Caenorhabditis elegans: one gene and its partner. The protein of the gene in region 1 purifies or fractionates together with the protein of each later gene. This does not show direct contact. Each region holds a gene or a part of one and is shown on either strand. Other genes may lie near its edges.

What was found.
Region 2: the proteins of Y17D7C.6 (region 1) and wht-3 fractionate together in Caenorhabditis elegans (co-fractionation; one large-scale study listed by BioGRID). This does not show direct contact.

Annotation. Positions count from the first base shown.
Region 1 is NC_003283.11:18,707,882-18,712,413, forward strand, and holds Y17D7C.6 (uncharacterized protein), read left to right. Parts: upstream 1-1,928; 5' UTR 1,929-1,996; coding exon 1,997-2,030; intron 2,031-3,178; exon of another isoform or gene 3,179-3,279; intron 3,280-3,512; coding exon 3,513-3,763; 3' UTR 3,764-3,975; downstream 3,976-4,532. Other genes in the region: Y17D7C.1 (Transposase), read left to right, coding at 103-176, 236-347, 432-482.
Region 2 is NC_003281.10:4,146,763-4,153,403, reverse strand, and holds wht-3 (ABC transporter ATP-binding protein/permease wht-3), read left to right. Parts: upstream 1-1,805; 5' UTR 1,806-1,852; coding exon 1,853-1,939; intron 1,940-2,118; coding exon 2,119-2,165; intron 2,166-2,429; coding exon 2,430-2,534; intron 2,535-2,592; coding exon 2,593-2,779; intron 2,780-3,109; coding exon 3,110-3,493; intron 3,494-3,747; coding exon 3,748-3,998; intron 3,999-4,591; coding exon 4,592-4,864; intron 4,865-5,275; coding exon 5,276-5,459; intron 5,460-5,505; coding exon 5,506-5,624; intron 5,625-5,697; coding exon 5,698-5,764; intron 5,765-5,809; coding exon 5,810-5,950; 3' UTR 5,951-5,979; downstream 5,980-6,641. Other genes in the region: har-1 (Hemiasterlin resistant protein 1), read right to left, coding at 719-943, 1,056-1,192, 1,245-1,347. UniProt on the Caenorhabditis elegans protein: Required for efficient RNA interference (RNAi) of pop-1 indicating a role in the germline development.

The DNA of each region.
Region 1 (4,532 bases):
GTGAGTAACAAGAAAATTGCTTTAAAAAATATTGTTACAAAATTAATTTTTTCAGGTCTTTTGGACAGTATCAAAACCTCTATAATACTTCACGTCTCTATTATGTTGGATGCATTTATCCGTTGGAACATGGACCGTGCGAGAGCAGATATTAAGAAAATAACATATTGGCTTAGGTGAGTTGCTCTGTTTTTTTAATCTAAAAATTTTCCTCCTTAAATCTAATGCTTTTCAGGCTGGATACACTGGTAGGAGAACCCATAGGAAAGTTGCAAATCAACCATAAGCAGACACTCAACTGGCTACTGGCGGTGCAGCGCTTCTACCCTTCTCAAGGGCTACATGAGGTGTGTGATATCAATATAGTTAACTTAAGACACGTTCTATTTGCAAAAAAGCATATTTTTTTAGTGTTGAGTAAGATTTTTCAGGATCTCTGTAACAGACTAGGTGTGGACAACTCATCGAGTGAATTCTGCTGAATACCCCCACACATTCGAGGACGAACATCCCTACATTCCTGCCGAGATCAATGCTGCAGTGTGGAACAATCAAGCAACGTAAACAATTCTGAAACAATTTAAATTTTTATCACAGCTCTTGTCTTTTTAAATGTATCACCGAGCACTGTATTTTTTTTTGATGCTTTAAATAAAATGTTTTAAATAAGAAATTCCTTAACTATATTTTAAGCTTATTTTTTTGTATTTAAAAAAACCTTTGCATATAGGAAGACTATTAGATTATAAATATCTAATTTTTGAAAAACCAAACTTTAAAGGTGGCCTTTTTTTTGTTTAGAAAGCACAAATTGAAATCGTTCAAAATTTTTTTCAATATTACTGAAATTAACTGAATGATGCTGTCACTAAAAAAAAAGAGGGGTGTAACTCTAATATATACAATACGGTAGCTACATATATATAAATACAGCAAAATATATACACAGCAATATTTTTTTCAGTTAAAAAAAAGTACTCAACAAGTTTCAAACCGCTTAAATATATTTAAAACTAATGCACCTACCCACAAACTCTAAATATGTCGTTTTTTTAATCCTTTTAGCATGTTTTGTGGGATTCTGAATTTACATGTACAGATGCCATATTAATACATGGGTCCTCACCTAATGCCCATACGTGTAAGTATGCATAGTAACTGTGATAATGTACACTTTTGATTCATTTTAAAATATTTTTAAAATAGTTTTTATAAGCTTCGAAAATATTAAAATTTTGGGAAACCATTCAAAATTTTCAGCGAATTACCTTCAAAATCACATGGATCTTGCTCCTCACCGCGACCACTGTTTCAAGTTGCTCACGGAGCACAGGAGCCCTCCAGAAGCCGGGGAAATAATTTTACTGCTCAGCTCAATTAGGTGTGCCATCAAGTCATTTTATAATGTAACTAGAATTTCTGATATTTTTAATGTCGAAAATTTTGATGACGATGTTAAAGTTGTACTTGTTGAATAAAGTCAAGATGTCAGGCACAGGCAGGCAAGGGCAGGCACAGGTAGGCACAGGCAGGCACATGCAGGCACAGGCAGGCACAGGCAGGCACGGGCAGGCACAGGCAGGCACAGGCTTTTCATCATTTTTTAAAGATTGTTTCTACATTTAAAATTTAAAAAAATCAGCGATAAAACCTTTAAAAATGAGAAATTTAAAAATCCCTCAAAAATTTAAATATATTTTTTAAAATTTTAAAATTTTTAAAATTTTTTAATTTAATTTAATAATTAATTTTCACACATTTTTTCTCAGAGACTATATTAGTAGTTAAACTATTCAGTTCAAAAGTTACGTCAGAACCCAACCAAAAATTATAATAAATCAGAAATGGCACCGGCTGGGCGTCTGCCTTGACATCTGCGCCGGTCTGGTGGAAACCCTCTCCCAACACATTTGCCGCCATTTCCTTTTATTCTGTCTTCAATGTCGCGTTGTGTATGGTGACTTTCTTCTATTTTTTCTGATTATTTTAACATTTTATGGACAATCTTCGTATCGATTTTTTGAGAAATGGTAAGTTTTAGATTTAAAGTTTCAATATATTAAGAAGAAGTGGCCTTTTGCACTGAGTTCTAGAAGTGTTAAAAATACCATTTTTAGGAATTTTTACCGCAGACAGTCGATGAGTAGCGTGCAATTTGAGAGATTTAGTGAAAAGATGAGAGAGTGAGAGACTTGGTTATAGCGTGCGTTTTTGAGAGATTTAGAGAAAGTTAGAGAGATTTTTTTAGAAACTATTTCGTAATTGGGTTACTGTAATAATTCAAATGATTATTATTAATTTCATAACTCTATTTCATAATTTTTGTTACCCCGGATTCGATCCCAGGACACGATTCGTATAAACAGATGCTTTACCAATACACTATAGATGTAGTCGAAACCCCAGTAGAATTTGACTCTTTTCTTTTCCGAAACATCTGCCGTTTAGATGACGGCAAACAGATGGCGTTTTTTCCGAAATAAGAGAAGCAACAAGACATGATTTGCATGAATGCAAGTGTTACCGAGGTGAATGAATCATAGGAAGGAGGCCCCCCGCCCCGCGCCCCTGGGGGTTTTAAAGGTGGAGTAGCGCCAGTGGGGAAATTGTTAAAAACCACTCTTTTGGTCCCAAAATGACCAAATATCATGAGAAAACTTTTCAAAAATTTTTTGGAAATTTTTTATTTACTGTCAAAAAGTGACAATTACTCAGTTTTTGCCACTCATAATTTTGGAAGTCGACCAAAAAAAAAAAATTTTTTCTACATTTTTTATGTTTTAATTTTGTTTAAATTATTTGTATTAGAACATTGTAGGGGTCGAAACATGCGACATTTCTTTAAATTTCCTCAAAAGCTCATATTTTTCAAAATTTTGGCAATTTGCCAAAAACTTTGACCGGAAATTTGACCGGAAATTATGAAAAATCTAAAAATTTTTGGAGTGTTTTATTATGATATTCAGTTGTTTTGGATCATTATAAGTGCATTTAGACAAAATGCCCACTGGCGCTACTCCACCTTTAAGAGTCGCACAAGATGAAAATCTGAAGGATGATCAAGTTAAAGTTAAAATTTTTTTTATTCTTCCTAGATTTTCTTCTCTGATGTTTCCGAATTCAGCTACTCCACATTTGAAATCAAAATCCCCAGATTTGCAAAACGTCTTATTTCCAGATGATTGATGCACGTGCTCGTTGTGTGTTTGCTCAGATCACGTAATGGACCTACCGGGAATAGCGAATGCTTTCGATATTTTGTTCGATCCCGATGAAGAGGTACATCACGCCTGGGGCGATGTGAGTAGTGATAGAGTGTTAAAAATACCATTTTAGGAATTCTTGCCACAGACCGTTGACGAATAGTGTGTGTTTTACGATATTCAGAGAAAAACGAGAGAGTGAGAGACTTGGTTATAGTAAGGTTATAGTAAGTTATAGTAAGAACCAATAGTTTTGGCGCGGCAGCATCTTTTTTTTCTATTTAAATATTAATTTTCTTCCAATTTCAGAACCAGTAAAAATGTCGTACATCGATACTTCCCTGGTGGAGCCACTAAAAAAATTGGAAATAAATCTACCAACTGGCAACAATAATGGGTACACTTTGATCAAGCTGTGCAGAACGGCTTACCCGCCTACGATCCTGCGAGACCGGCATTTCTCAACACTTGTTGCAAGGTACAAGACGGACGAAGAGTTCAAAAACGAAGCAACTTTTGTGGAGAAGGTGTTAAACGACAAGATCGAGCAAGAAGCGTGAATTCTTGAAAATGCATGGACCAGCAGTGGAAAGACGAGACGTTGATATACCAGACTTCTGCTCCCCATTGATCTGATTTGTAATTTTGTATTTTTGGTGTCTGATTTTCACAATTAATAATTGTGATAAATTTAATTTAATTTAATCAGAATTTTCACCTTTTTTATCTATTTATCATCTTTAAAAAACAGAATATGAACCCAAATATGAAATAACTTTTTAGAAAAGCTATACAAACTGCAGAGAAACAAAAACTCAATCATTAAGTTATTTAAAAATGATCACAAAAAATATTTTACCCTGCGTGGGATTGAACCCAGCAGGCAGCCACTCGACTACCCCACAGCCCAGCCATCAAAACTTGTGTTATCTCATATTTTCCAGCGTTAAAGTGATAAAAACCAAGTTTTGCCGTCCAAATCCGGTGCAAGTTCAGTGTCGGATACATTTTTAAGCTTACATCATCAGTTTTAAGGCCATTTAACGAAACTCGTGCGAGGGCATCAATATTTAAGTCGTCGCAAACTCATATGAGAATGTGCGCGGGATGGCTTCACAGGTAACGGCTTAGGTTTAGGAACAACAGGGTTAAGGGTGCGCTGGTTCGAGTCCGCGGGGTGGTGGGAAAAATTTTCATTGGCAGACCGCAAAATATTCAAAAACAGATAAACGGCAGTTGATTTGCAGAATGACAGATGGCAGACCGCTGGTAGATAAATAGCAGACCGCTGGTGGACCGTTCACTGTTCGCCTACTAACTGCCAGCGGT
Region 2 (6,641 bases), on another chromosome or scaffold:
AAAGTATATGGGTTCTAAATTTTGGAATATTCAATAAAATAAATATGGAGGAGAATATTGTGAGTTACTGAAAAGATAGATTAAATTAACGGAAAATATACCATATGGCGAAAAAACTATAGTTTTTCAAAATATATCGATTTAAATTTTTTAAAAAATTAATATTTCTCTAAATTAATAAGAAATTATCGTATATTATTGAAAACTCTATTTTTTCTCGAAAGATTAAAAATTGAATCTCGGGGAGTTTAAAAATGCATAGCAACGAAACATCGATAAAAATCTTGCAGTAGAAAAGAGAAAAAGCGAGCGGAGGAATAATAAAATGAAGCGATTTCTGCAGTATTTATAGTGAGTGTTTGGAGGCCGACCCGCGCGCTCATTGATGTGTTTTTTTGCTTTTTAAAAATCGCGAATGAACCAGAAAATATAAAAACAACATGGCAAATACCTCAAAAATCAGTGCGAAAGACTGCGAGGAAAACAAGAAAACAACGAGTCAATTTATTTGCGAACAGAAAACTGGGGAAAATTGAAAAAGAACAAAACTACGGAACATTTGGAATTCAGGGAGCTAAATACGACAAAAAAAAGGAAAAAAGTCAAATTGAAAGCGATAACCATAAAGTAGAATTTGAGTTTTCAGAGAGAAATAATCAATTTCCACCAAATGCTAAACGTTTTCACTTAATTCAATATCTATACGGGGGAACTGTGATTAGGCATATCTGGCCTTGCATTGCTTGAAAATATCATTGAATCCGTTGCACAGAGAAACATCAGATTGGTTTTGTGCGCAGTCCACAAATTGTCTCCACTCGAATTCGCATGGCTGCGAGTAGCCAGAAGCTTGTGGAGCACCGGCTGGAGCAGCAGCAGCAGCTGGAGCTTGCTCGGCATGAGAGCTACCGCCTCCGGTGAACATTCCTCCGACGGCGTGACCCTGGAATTTTAGAATTCGATATTTTAATTAAGTGTTTCCCAAATTATGGTCTTGGAAATAGGTTAGCTTCGAAATCCGGGGAATATATATATATTTAAATAAAACTACTCACAACAGCGGATCCAATGGCGACTCCTCCGGCGGTTGCAGCCATTTGCTTCATCAATCCTGGTCCCTGAGATGGAGCACCCATTGGGGCTCCCATTGGAGTTGGAGCTGCTGGTGGATGATAAGCTGGAGCAGCGGCGGCTGAAATATTATTTTAAGAGTTTTTGAAAAAAAATAATGGCTTAAATTTTACCTGGTCTTGGTGGTGGAGCGGCGAAGGATGACTGGGCGGCTGGACGTGGAGCCGATCGAACTGGGGCCGATGGAGATGGGGAAGCAGTGCGCCGACGAACCATTTTCTGAAATTGATAGAATTTCAATGAAGATTTCAAATAATTAAAACTGTGAACGAAAAAAGCCAGAAGATAAAATATTCGAATAAATTGAAACATTCTAAATTAACTTTTTAGTTAAAAATGACAGAAATCAGGAACTCTGTAGCCTCCACTAGTCTCGAAGAGCATTTATATTGTCCGAGTAGTGACGAAATAGTTCAAAAATCACTTGTCTGTTCAATGTGATGAGAGATAAGATTGCGAAATACGACAGGGAAACAAAAAATTGAGCTAAATCAAGCGAAATCATATTAGAATCATTAAATATAAATACAAGCTTTTCAAAGTTTGTATTATGCATTTTACAACAAATAAAAATCGTAATAAAAGCGTTGTAAGACTATTTTTTCTATTTTCAAAATTTACGTATCCGTGATGATAAAATTTAGATTGGAAAATCAACAATCTACTCATTTCTATAATTTTTAATTAAAAATTGAATCAATTCAAATAGTTTATTTGTCAAATGCCTACAAAAATGCCATTCGATTTACTAGCGGAAAGAAAAAGATGGAATGCCGGGTACGAATCAATCGATACAAGCAGCCAAAAGGTAAAATTATGTTGTGTAAAGCTGAAAACGTGGAGTTTAGCTCAAGAGGAGATTCTTAGTATTTTTTCGGTCTGAAATGCATTTGTAAATTGAAATCAACAAATATATCTTTGAAGAAATGTGTTTAAATCATATAAAATACACATAATTGCTGCAACGAAGTAAAATACATTTTTCAGCTGACGGAAGTGGTGACGCCCATCACAGTCACGTGGGAAAACATCGAGTAAGTTGGAAAATTGACGAATAGTAACATCACATAACACGCCCAGAGCAATTTACTAATTTTTAAGTCATAATTTTTGTAAAATATAAACAAATCTTCAACACAAAGATCAAAAAACAAAGAAAATTCGAGAAAGAAATGATAAAAATGATGATGATTTGCGCGTAGGCTGTGATGCATTCCGCAGCGGTACGCAAACACCGCTTGCACACCGTAGTTCTGAGAAATACGCGGGTGTTTGAATTTAATATTTTCATATTTCAGGGTAAAAACTCGGAAAAAGCTATTTTCCAAAAAGCAGAAGCAACTGTTAAATAGAGTCTCGGGAATAGCAAAGCCAGGAGAAATGGTGGCATTAATGGGTGCAAGGTAAAACTTTAGTTATGTTATAGTTATGAAGTTATAGTTATGAAGCAATTTTGTTCAGCGGAGCAGGAAAAACCACTCTAATGAATGTGCTAATGTGCAGGAATATGAAGGGATTGGAGAAGAATGGAACCGTGAAAGTGAATGGAACAAAGATCGGGAAGGAGATTTCATTGATTTCTGGTTTTGCACAACAACAGGAGATTTTCATTCCAACATTGACTGTTGATGAATATTTAATGATCCAGGTCAGCATTTTTTTTCGCACGAAAATACAGTATTTGGTCTTGGCACGAATAACATTTTTTGAATTAATGTCACCTAAAATAACGTGCGCCTTTAAAGAATACCGTAGTTTCAAGTAAAAATACTATACGGAATGAAAAGTACAGTAACCTTTTAGAGGCGCGCATTCTTTTCTGGAGTTTTGATTTGAGAATACTTTGACCGTTTCAAGACCTAAAACTGTAATAATCAGAAGACAGTGTTTGATCTCCAGAACTCCCGATTTCTGAAGATCAAGCGTCAGCGCCTACTCGATACATCAAACTTTACGCGCAAACTCCCAAAAATTTCAGGCAAGACTTCGGATGAAAGCCAATAAACATACACGTAGAGAACGAGTGGATGAGATTATTGAAATGCTGAGACTCCAAAATTGTCGAGATTTGAAAATTGGAACACCTGGACTCGTAAAAGGAATTTCCGGTGGTGAAGCCCGTCGTTTGACATTTGCCTGTGAACTATTATCCAATCCATCACTACTTTTTGCTGATGAGCCAACGTCTGGACTTGATTCATTTATGGCTGCAAGTGTTGTACAAATTTTGAAGAATCTCGCGAATTCCGGTCGAACACTGATCCATCAACCTACTGCCGAGCTCTTTTTTCAATTTGACAAAATTATTTTCTTGTCGATGGGAAAAACCGCTTTTATGGGAACACCTCATGAGTCCGTGAAGGTAATTTTGAAATTTAAGAAATTATTTAAAGGCGCACGCCAAAAGGTCTTGGCACGACCGAAACTGAGGATTCAGAAAAATATTAGTGAATGTGGAATCTGCGAAAAAGTACAGTACTCTTCAAAGGCGCATACCGAAATGTTTCAGTCGTGTGGAGACCCTCATCTGCCTATAATTTTGAATCGAAAATCGAATTGTTCGGATACCCAACTATAATTTGAATTTACAAATTTTCGAATAAACCTTTTTTCCAGTTTTTCGCTGACTGTGGCCATCCAATTCCGAAATTATTCAATCCACCTGAATGGATACAATCCAAATTGTCAGTGATACCAAACAACGAGACAAAGAGTCGAGAAACAATTGGAAAAATTATTGAATTTTATGAAAAATCGATAATTCATCAGAAATCTATAGTGGAAATACGTGTGATTGCGACTACAGAGCTACCTCCATATATAGAGAATCCAGGATTTTTTGCCGAAACTGGAGCATTGTTAAAGAGGTTGGTTATCTGGAAAAATAATAGTTAAAGCACGCTTCTTTATGGTAAACTACGAAATGCACCATGTTTGAACCACAAACTGTTGCTGAACTTTGACATCCCATAGCTCAGTTGTTTTTGATTTTTCGAAATTTTGCCAATTGACAAAATATTTATCATGTATTTTTCTATAGTTTTGTAGTTCAACATTTTCTGATATCTATAAAATGACCCGAGATACTATAAGTTGCCAAAATTTTGTTTGGAAATCCTACCACGATTGCACTTTATAAAAAACCAGCTGTGGTCCGCACCTTCGGCGCGGCCCCCGACTTCTAGAGCTGAAAATTAATTTTTATGAAACTACCGTAACCCTACAGTATTCCTACCGTACCACTATTGTACCACTACAGTACCCCGACTATATCCCTACACTAACCCCAACTCACTATCCCTCCAGAAGTCAAAACTTCACAGACTACAAAGACTACATAGACTACAAACTATGGACACACAGAATAAGCGCTTTATATATAGTAAATGATGATGCACGCTTTTCTTTGCAAACCAATGGTGCAATAAAAATTTGATTTGCTTCTAACATTATTTTTCAGAGCTTGCCTCGATGTGATCCGTTCTCCAGCTCAAATGCGAATGAAACTAATTCAAAAAGTGGTGATGGGCTTATTCATCGGATCTCTTTATTGGCAACAACCACTTGATCCTCGAGGAGTACGGAACACAAATAGTGCTCTTTATTTTCTAATTGCGGAGCTCACTTTCTCCACGATGTTTGGAATTATGACATTTATGGAACATGAACTTCCATTAATTGCGAGAGAATATCATGATGGATTGTTTTATGTAATTAGTTATTATATTTCGAGGTTAGTTTAGAAAAGTGGAAAAGTACGGAAACATGACACGATATGGGAAGTTTTTCTATACGTTTATTTGAAAACTAAATATTTTGAGTGCACTGATAGGTAGTAAAACATCCGAGCATATGAAAAACAATGCTTCCATGGTTAGCACTGCATGCCTATGTGCCTATTTTCTGCCTACCGCCCATTTCTGCAATTTGACGCAAATTCCCGTGTTTGGATCAATTTTTCAGTTAAAAAAAATAGAGCAAGATTCACGTTGGTAGTAGGTAGAGCTTATAGTAGGCATTTTGTGACTGTACGAAACTAAAGACGAAGTATTAAAAAAATCAATATTAGGCTCTGCCCAAATAATGGTTTTTTGCGTTGTCAAGAAGAGCATCTCACAGTTGATAAATCTGATTCAACTTTCAGATTTCTGTCATATCTCCCATTATTTACAATCGACGGAGCTCTAATGATTGTAATATCATATTGGATGATTGGATTGAATAGTACTTGGCAACAAGTGGCTAAAAGTATTCTAATTTCTGTGCTCGTCGAGCAGTCTGCCACTTCGTGTGGCCTCTTCTTGGCTTGTCTATTCGAGACTACTTCGGTAAATTTTTAACATCAGATTTTTCAAAACACATGTTTTTTTTCAGCTGGCAATTGCTTTTGCCGTTCCAGCATCAGGCCTTTTTGCACTGTTGAGTGGATTATATGGAAATACGAATAACTTTCCAGTTTACATTCGGTGGATGCAATGGACTAGTTGGTGTAGGTTAGAAATTTTGCCCGTTTCTAGGCGTATGCGCTTTTGAACGGCTTCGTACTCACGACAAATGAATTTTCAGATATGGATTCGAAGGACTCGTCGTGAATCAGTGGTCTCAAGTGGACAATCCGAAATGGGATCCTTTCGTAAGTTCTATTTTTGTGACACATGCCACTTTAATCCTTTTTCAGTATCGAGAATTGATTCTGAAACAGTTCTCATTCAACAAAGACAACTATCAATTGGATGTTATTGGACTCTGCTCAATTGTGATCTTTTTCTATTTGGCTGGATATATTGCACTTTTCATTCGAATTCGATTATCTCGATGATTTTATTATTATGAACTTGTTTGCTGAACATTTTTGTAGCTCTTAATATATATTTGTTTGAAACCCCCCCCCCCCTGAGGTGTCGGCTGCAGATAAAGTCACTTTTTGCTCTTTTATCCTGAATCCGATACCAAAATCAGTACTGTATTTGAAATTGAAAATTGAACACAAAAAATCAAATTTTAAAATTTTTATCGAAATTTTTTTGTTTAGTGTGGGTGCATAGAAAGAATGTCAAAAAGGGGATGTGATGTGATTTTGGGATACGAAGAGAGAAAATTTCAAAAGAAAAACATACAAAGAAAAGGCATCTAGACGATCAGATTTTAAAAGAAAAATTGCAAAAAAAAACATTATATTAGGGGAAAACTGATGGAGAACATTGAAAAAAGTGTTGCGACATATGAACCCGCGAGAAAGACATGATGAAAACACGAATTTTGTTTTGTTTTTGAAGTTGAAATTGCAAAAAAAAAAAAGATTTGAAATACTTTTTGGCATTTGAAAGAAAACGTTTCCTTTAGTTTTGTGGGAGATGGAAAGAGATCACTAGTGGCTATCCGGGGGTATTAGATATGAGAATATTAGGAGGGGGTATAAAAGTGTGGTTATTGATTTTTGGTGGAAAATGAAAAAAAAAAACAAATCACACAGCTTTGCAAACCGGGAGTTGAGAGAAAATGAACGTTTT